2 linked regions of the Neurospora crassa OR74A genome follow. The protein of the gene in region 1 interacts with the protein of each later gene in a pairwise test. Links are inferred from orthologs where the notes say so. Each region holds a gene or a part of one and is shown on either strand. Other genes may lie near its edges. The genes, in order: cot-1 and NCU03246.

Evidence for each region.
Region 2: the proteins of cot-1 (region 1) and NCU03246 interact in binary tests that used the Saccharomyces cerevisiae proteins (3 or more experiments, as listed by UniProt). The link is inferred for Neurospora crassa OR74A from reciprocal best matches to the Saccharomyces cerevisiae genes CBK1 and CDC14.

What each region holds. Positions count from the first base shown.
Region 1 is NC_026504.1:4,484,287-4,488,771, reverse strand, and holds the start of cot-1 (serine/threonine-protein kinase orb6), read left to right. Parts: upstream 1-1,450; 5' UTR 1,451-2,087; coding exon 2,088-2,275; intron 2,276-2,353; coding exon 2,354-2,674; intron 2,675-2,741; coding exon 2,742-3,239; intron 3,240-3,298; coding exon 3,299-3,775; intron 3,776-3,833; coding exon 3,834-4,146; 3' UTR 4,147-4,485. Other genes in the region: tim54 (mitochondrial import inner membrane translocase subunit tim-54), read right to left, coding at 26-91. UniProt on the Saccharomyces cerevisiae protein: Protein kinase that seems to play a role in the regulation of cell morphogenesis and proliferation.
Region 2 is NC_026501.1:5,041,786-5,046,147, forward strand, and holds the start of NCU03246 (tyrosine-protein phosphatase CDC14), read left to right. Parts: upstream 1-1,343; 5' UTR 1,344-1,889; coding exon 1,890-1,947; intron 1,948-2,167; coding exon 2,168-2,470; intron 2,471-2,531; coding exon 2,532-4,135; 3' UTR 4,136-4,362. Other genes in the region: NCU03245 (hypothetical protein), read right to left, coding at 1-276, 490-521. UniProt on the Saccharomyces cerevisiae protein: Protein phosphatase which antagonizes mitotic cyclin-dependent kinase CDC28, the inactivation of which is essential for exit from mitosis. To access its substrates, is released from nucleolar sequestration during mitosis.

The sequences.
Region 1 (4,485 bases):
GCGAAGGAGCCAAAGTGTAACATACTGTAGCCGTAGTTGCAGCCGGAGCGGCAGGCGGCGCAGTGGACGCCGGGGGTACTGGGTCGGCCATGGTATAAAGTGTTGCGCCGGCTGATGCTATTACTCTGATGTATGTCGTGTGGTGATGGAGTTTGCGCAATTACGGGCGCATGCAGCTTACTGTGACGGCGCGAGGGGTATCGTAGGGAGAGATCGGGGGGTGGTTCTCGCGGGGGGCGTCACAGTTGGAAGACAACTTGAAGAGGACGACGGGATTCCGTAACGATTGTACGGACTACGGACAGCGACTCCGTAGGAGCTCCGTTGAGGACCTTGGGGCCGGTGCAGCGGAGCACCCGACTGCCAAAATTCCCGGACACACTTTCTTATCGCGATAAGCCGATAAGCCATTCCCGCGGCGGCACCCACCTGCATCTTTCATCGCGTTTAGTGGTTGTGCACGGGCCATATGCGAAGGTCAACCGCACGTCATGCCAGTGACACTTGAATTAACTTTTAGTGTATAAATGCAGACCACGCAGACTTGGAACGGCCCAAGATTTTATCTTGAGAGTTCCAAGATAGTCTCATGTCTGGACTTTACTCTCATAAGTTGGGGAATTTAGTCAGCCCTATTGAAGCAGGTTCCATCTTTCTGAGCCAGAACTATAGGTTCTAAAAGCGTCTGCAAAGGGTACCTGAGCTTGTATAAGTCGGGCTACCTGTTCCGTGTTCTTACTTTCCCTGGATTCTCTGCTGAAGCATCGTAGAGGATGTCTCTACAGTAGACAATTGTATACTCGGTCGTGGCGACTTGGGCTTCATGTGCTGTCAGCGATCATGATGACCTCTTGCGTGATCAATGGGCACAACTGTTCCGAGACGCTGCAACCCCTGAAAGAACAGGAGCACCCAGGGAAGATGCGGTGTCGATGGCGCTAAGCGTGTTCACCCCACCTTCAGCTCCACCAGGATGCCCCTTCGATCAATTGCAGACCCGGGAGTGCCCGCTCCCAGCCAGTAACAAATTCCCGGACCAGAGTCTCGATGCTCTCGAGGTCCAATGCCGTTGCGTCGAGCTTCAACACTCGGGGGACTGGTGGTTTACCTATAGTGTGCTTGTGAGGCACGAGAAGATGGCAGCAGTGCGGAACAGACAGCAACGAGTTGACGTCTGACGATGAGGTTGGAGTCAGGGGTTTTCAGGTTGACCAGGGCACCCCATAGTTAGGTGGTCCTGTTTCGGCCTGGAGCTCACCACTGGACCTGGGCATGTCATCCCAAACATGGAACCCCTCTTTCTACGACCTCCTTATTCCTGGGCATCGTGTACTAGATTCACATCGAGGCCAGCTTCCTGTGGCAACAGAAAACGGAAACGTAAAGATGCTCCTAGTTGTCTGTTGTTATTCAAGGTGTCCTTTGAATGCGCCCGTGGCTGTCTCATATCATCACAGTCTATGTCTTGGTCACTTATAGATGGGATCTGTTAGGTTCCATGTCACCTCTATACGTCTAGGTCTTTATTTATACTGATACCGCAGGGACCCTGCCCCACCTGCTTCCCTTCCGTTTGTCTGATTCGTCCGTACCTAGGTTCTCCGAATTACAGCGCCCTGAATCGCCTCCAGCCAGTGCTCTCCTGTCAGACTCCTTCCTGTAGGTAGGCTGGAGAGGCTCACGTCGGTCACGCTTCCACTTTGCTTCCACTTCCACACTGCGCCTATCGACTGCACGTTCCAGCGGGACACTTCCACTTCGGACGGTGCCACTCAACCACCTGCCCCCCCAGCCTGGCCGCCCTCGATTCCCATCCCTACCATCTACAGTAGCCAACCGTCGTTCGATCCTCGTTGGACCCTGGTCCCAAGAAAAAGCAACCTCCTTTCCTCCCGTCTCCCCATACCTATCCCGTCTTGTACACAAACCCCTTTCTGTGCGCATAGATCCCATCGATCGGTCTGGGAGCTCGACTCTGATCGTTTCTCCATCTGCCGTCCCTCGGAATCTCGTCTGAGCTCGCTTGCGCCCTTCCCGCTACATACACCCGGAATCCACTGTTTACCGTTTAGAGACAAGGTACCAAGATGGACAACACCAACCGCCCCCATCTCAACCTGGGCACCAACGATACCCGCATGGCTCCAAACGATCGTACCTATCCCACCACCCCGTCCACCTTCCCCCAACCCGTCTTCCCAGGTCAACAAGCCGGTGGTTCCCAGCAGTACAACCAGGCCTACGCCCAGTCCGGCAACTACTATCAACAGAACCAGTATGCCAGCCACTACGCCCCTCCTGGTGCCGCCGACTACGGCTTCGTTCAAGCTCATTCTAACATTGACGGTACTAGCAACGACCCCAACACTGGTCTCGCCCACCAGTTCGCCCATCAGAACATTGGCAGCGCCGGAAGAGCCTCTCCCTACGGTTCTCGTGGCCCATCTCCCGCTCAACGCCCTCGCACATCCGGAAACTCTGGCCAGCAGCAAACCTACGGCAACTATCTGAGCGCCCCGATGCCTTCGAATACCCAGACCGAGTTCGCTCCCGCTCCCGAGCGGAACCCCGACAAATATGGCCCCAATGCCAACAACAACCAGAAGAAGTGCTCACAGCTGGCCTCTGACTTCTTTAAGGACAGCGTCAAGCGCGCCAGGGAGCGCAACCAGAGGTGAATGCTGCAGCGATGCGCTTTTGCCCCTACATCCCGCCGTGATCGGTGCTGACACCCTTTTCAGACAGAGCGAGATGGAGCAGAAGCTCGGTGAGACCAACGATGCCCGCCGTCGCGAATCGATCTGGTCAACCGCTGGCCGGAAGGAGGGCCAGTATTTGCGCTTCCTGAGAACCAAGGACAAGCCCGAGAACTACCAGACCATCAAGATCATCGGCAAGGGCGCTTTCGGCGAGGTCAAGCTCGTGCAGAAGAAGGCCGACGGCAAGGTTTACGCCATGAAGTCGCTTATCAAGACGGAAATGTTCAAGAAGGACCAGCTTGCCCACGTCCGAGCAGAAAGAGATATCTTGGCCGAGTCGGACAGCCCATGGGTTGTCAAGCTCTACACCACCTTCCAGGATGCGAACTTCCTTTACATGCTCATGGAGTTCTTGCCCGGTGGTGACTTGATGACCATGCTGATCAAATACGAAATCTTCTCGGAGGATATTACCCGTTTCTACATTGCCGAAATCGTCTTGGCTATCGACGCGGTCCATAAGCTGGGCTTCATTCACAGGTAAGCTTCGCCGGAAGCAATGCTCTGGAAAAGAGATACTGACACGGTTGTGCATGCAGAGATATTAAGCCAGACAACATCCTTCTTGATAGGGGTGGTCATGTCAAGCTTACAGATTTCGGTCTCTCTACCGGCTTCCACAAGCTCCATGATAACAACTACTACACACAACTGCTCCAGGGCAAATCCAACAAGCCGCGCGACAACCGCAACTCGGTTGCTATTGACCAAATCAACCTGACGGTCAGCAACCGTGCACAGATCAATGACTGGAGACGCTCCAGACGTTTGATGGCCTACTCGACCGTCGGTACACCAGATTATATTGCTCCGGAAATCTTCACTGGCCATGGTTACTCGTTTGATTGCGATTGGTGGTCTTTGGGTACCATCATGTTCGAGTGCTTGGTCGGCTGGCCTCCTTTCTGCGCCGAGGATAGCCACGACACTTACCGCAAGATCGTGAACTGGAGGCACTCGCTTTACTTCCCGGATGACATCACCCTTGGTGTAGATGCCGAGAACCTTATCAGAAGGTATGCATGCTTTTGACTTCCCCCAAAATCACGCGCTCACCATATTGACTTGTCATAGCCTCATCTGCAACACTGAGAACCGTCTCGGCCGTGGTGGTGCTCACGAAATCAAGAGCCACGCCTTCTTCCGCGGCGTTGAGTTCGACAGCTTGCGTCGCATCCGTGCGCCCTTCGAGCCCCGTCTTACATCCGCCATCGATACCACATACTTCCCTACGGACGAGATTGACCAGACGGATAACGCCACGCTGCTCAAGGCTCAGCAGGCCGCTAGGGGCGCCGCTGCCCCTGCGCAGCAGGAGGAGAGCCCAGAACTCAGCTTGCCTTTCATTGGATACACGTTCAAGCGTTTCGACAACAACTTCCGATAATTGCGTTACGTCTTCTCGCTGTCTGAATAATGAGCGTTGGTTTTCTTGGGGGGGAGGAAGGGGGCGTAATAGTGATGGCGAAAGGGAGAAGAGGTTGTGCTGCGGGGCGGCAGTATCTGGGTACCCCTTATACTTGGCTTTGACGTCTTTGCTAGCTCGCGGTGCTGTTGAAATTTCTGATGGCAGAGACACTTTGCTGATAGTACGCGAATTTTCCGTTCCGCATATATGGCTGAATAAGTACAGAAACATAATGTATGGACTGCATCTTCTGGGCGAGGAACTGGGAAGCCCTGAAGCGAGCAACGGGGGAGAATAAAAGCGGCAAGAGACATGAAC
Region 2 (4,362 bases), on another chromosome or scaffold:
GCTTTCTCAGACTCAATGACATCCACATCCATCTCCTCCTGCACCTCCAACACCAACGCTAGGCTGTCCATAAAGGAATTCACGGCAACGCGCAGCATGCGGTTTGTGGTGGCCTTGTAGTCGACTTGCAGGACCGTCTCCCCAGCATGTTCGCTGCCAGGAGACGCAACGGTCGAAAGTTCCCGCTTCACGAGGCCGGAGAGCTCCTTGTCCACCCTCAAAGCCTGCAGGGCAACAGAAGCTAACCGAGCATCAGGGAAGGGCACTCGGAGTGTTCTTGTCGGTTGCTGTGTTAGTGTCGATTATCTTGAAAGGTATGCAGAGTTTGAGTGAAGCAAGGATGTGACGATGATCTCATGAGACGAATGGTACAAGATGAAAAATTGAAAAAAAAATCAAAAAAAAAAATTTCAAAAATTGGAAAATAAACAGAGGATCAAAACATATCAGAACAAGGAATGAAGTAACAATCAAAAACAAATGACCTACAGCGAGCAGGGGAAGTTATCGTCGGTTGCCATGGTTGCGGTCTTTAATAACCCCGAAGTAAACACTTGCAAGAAATATGTTGTCGTGAACCAAAGGGTTTCAGACTGGCACTCGCCTAACGGTTGTCAGGGGAGTTTGTGTGGTAAGCGCTACCCGATGACGAATGTCAAATTCCAACCGCCGCGAGTGTGCCTGGGCTGTGATGACCGATAACAGGCCCTTGTGGGAAACTCTGTAGGAACCTCAAACTGTATCTCACACTGGCAATTCCGCAGTGATGTTACTATCGTCTACAGTTATCGCAAGGTCGTAGGCGGCAGGCTGGCTGAACAGGGAACGAGTTTCGATATTCGGTTGTTGCCGTGTGCTGGGCGCAAAGGCATCATGGCGGCTTTACAGAAAAAGGACAAGCTCCGGCAACACCTCCCTCTCTACCTCAGCTGGAAAGTGGAGCTCTGGGGGGGGATCTCCCGTCAGAGCGAAGCGATTGGATGTTACTGGTCCAGGCGCGACTGCGGATGCCAAGAGAGAAGGTTGTCAGGACAACGGCGGGTGAGATGGAGCTTTGAACGCGCTTATTGGGCGGTGAATTGTTTTGGAAGATACCAAGCCCCCCGAATTCTTCGCTGGCCCACGCTAAACCCCGGGCGCAGGCAGAGCGGTCGGGCAAGATCAGTTGCGACTTGGAGGCGGTCTCTGCATGGAAGGTGAGGTGAAGGTCTCGCTCGTTCTCCGGTTCGCCAGGGTCCCTGCCAATGACAATACACACACGACATACAACCTTGCCAGCAAAAACACCGCTCTTGGTAAGTACCGGTAAAGGCCGTACCTGCTACAAAACCTGTTCTCCGCAACCAGCTCATACCCACCGGTCTTTTCTGACCTCCTCCTCTCGCACATCATCATCGAGTTGCCCACTCCTTTGTTTCTTCAATTCTCCTGCCTCCGGTGCCTTCGTTCTTTACAAGAATTGCATTCTCGCAGCCGGTGTCCTCTCGTCCTTCTTTGGAGGCTTTGGCCCTTGTTTTTGGCCCTTTCATCCCACCCCGCACCTGCAGTGCAGTACACAGTCCCTTGCCTCGCGGTATAGCTACCTAGCCCAGCTTGGCTGCTTGGTTTTCCCTTGTTGGCACACAATCGCTCGCGCAAACGATCTGCGATCTCGACCTCACCTTCTTCCCGTCAATCAATCCGACCATAATTTTGGCCGACCTCAAGTACAGCCCTCAAACGACAAAAGATCGAATTGGACTTTAACATCCTTCGCTCCCGCCTCCCTATACGTAGCTCATTGCATTGCACAGCATCACTATTCCCGTACGTGCGCCTGCGCATTGTCGCAACGCCAATCGCTCTCTCGACATAAACAGTCGACTTTGAGCCTCCCAGGCCACGACGCCATGGCTCCTTCCTCCAGACACTCCAGCAATCTGGGGCAAATCATCGAGTACATTCCCGGTACGTGTAGATTATTTGTGCGCCGCTCCGGTCCTCTTAATTGAAGCTACAATTTTTTTTTTGTTTTGCTTCTGGCTCCGTTGTCCGAAAACTCCATGTTTATGATCCACCCGCATCCCATGTTCACCGCTCCGCAACGGAGCTGCTCGTCCCAATATGAGCACCTTTGAATATCCTCTACAATATCAGCAATTGCCTTACAGTATACTAACCTTTACAGACCGATTGTACCTTGCATCTTACTCTGAACCTCCTACCGAGCATACCTTGTTTCCCTACCCGGATCCTGAACCACGGTCCCCGCGCAAGCGCTCTCAACGAACAATCGACCAGGTCACGGAGCGTAAGAAGCCATACTACTTCACTGTCGACGATACTCTTCTATACAATGCCTTCCACCACGATTTTGGCCCGTTCCACATCGGCCACCTTTACCGCTTCGCCCTGCAGTTCCACGAAATTCTTGGGGCCAAGGAGAACAAAGACAGGCCGGTAGTGTTCTGGAGCAGGGCCGATCCACGCAGTAGGTCATCTAAGTCCGCCTCCTCGAGAACAGCAAAGATTGCTGACCAATGTTACCTTAGGTCGTGCCAATGCCTCTTGTCTACTAGCTTGCTACATGGTTTTGATCCAATCGTGGCCTCCGCATCTAGCTCTTGCGCCGGTCGCCCAGGTTGACCCCCCTCTAATGCCGTTCAGAGACGCCGGCTACAGCCAGGCCGACTACGGCATCACGGTTCAGGACGTTGTGTACGGCGTTTGGAAGGCCAAGGAGGAAGGCTGCTGCGTGTTGGAGACATTCGACCTTGACGAGTACGAAAAGTTTGAGAGAGTTGAGCACGGCGACTTCAACTGGATTACACCCAACTTCCTGGCATTTGCCTCTCCTCAGCATACCCCGGTTGCTCCCACCCCCGAGGGGACCGAGCAGTGGTCACTTCTGCCAAAGACCCTAGCCGCCGTCGACGCACATCCTACGCTGCCGCAGCCCTTCAAAAATGTTCTCAGGCATTTCTCGGAGCGAGACATCGGCCTTGTCGTCAGGCTGAACTCGCAGCTCTACAATCCCTCATACTTTGAAGCCCTAGGAATCAACCACATCGACATGATCTTTGAGGACGGAACATGTCCTACCCTTTCGACCGTACGGAAATTCATCCGCATGGCCCATGAAACCATCTCTAGGAAGAAGGGCATTGCTGTTCATTGCAAAGCTGGCCTCGGCCGAACAGGCTGCCTCATCGGTGCCTACCTGATCTACCGACATGGATTTACAGCAAACGAGGTCATTGCCTACATGCGCTTCATGCGCCCAGGCATGGTCGTAGGGCCTCAGCAGCACTGGTTACATCTGAACCAGGGCATCTTCCGGGAGTGGTGGATTGAGGAGCGGGTTGAGCGGAGGCTGCGCAAAGAAATGGCAGCCGCTGCCGCCGCCGCCGCTCAGGCTAACGGGACAGCGCATCCCAGCACCCCTGTCCGTGCCGTGTCGAAGACGAGTCTTGGTCGTAGCTCTAGCAAAAATGGCGTGTCCACACCCTCTAACAGAGGATCAGTTCGGACACCGCTAGGCGAGATCGATCGGGAGTCGGCGCGTGACAATCATATCGGCGTACAAGAGGATTACCTCCCCGCACCTACGCCAGGACAGCCAAGGAAGACGCAGCGGGGCGCAGTAGATCGCCAGAAAGGATATGGCCGGGGACCTATTCAGACCACTGTGGAGGAAGAACCCGTTCCCATGACAGAAGTGACAACCGAGGTGATCACAGTTCACAAGAGCTCAAGAGGGCCGAGTTCAGAGGAGGAATGGAATCTTCGAAGATCTCGGCGAAGACAGTCTGCTGCTCCAACTTCACCAGGACAACCCCCCGAACGGTCTGTCACCCACCAAACCGCTACCACGAAAACGACTGTTTATCAAGTCATGGATAATGATGCATCGAACGATATCGAGAACATTGGTACTGCCGCAGCACGAATCAAGGCCCATGACCACGCTCCACGCACTAGTTCCGCGTCTGGAGTTTTGACCAAGATACGAGGCAACACTAGTGCGAAACGCCATCCACCTGGGAGCGTCAGAGAAGCTGGTGTTCGAAAGACGAGTGGACGAGTTGGGAGTATAGGGAACTCGACAACCAGTCCGGCCGCTGTATCGGCAATGCGTAAAATAAGTGGGATGTGACCCTATTCTCATGAGTCAAAAGATTATACTTGACTTGATGTGTTACAAACGAAAGCTCGGATTCATTGGCTTCATAATTCATTTGAGATACAAAAAGAAAAGGTGCGTTCAAGAGCATAGGGTTATGCCTTTGGGAGTCTTGGGTTTCTCAGTGGCAGCAAGCAAACTTGGAGCATTCAGCGAGCGAGATGCAGCATACTGTTTTAACCATCACGTTTGCATGATCA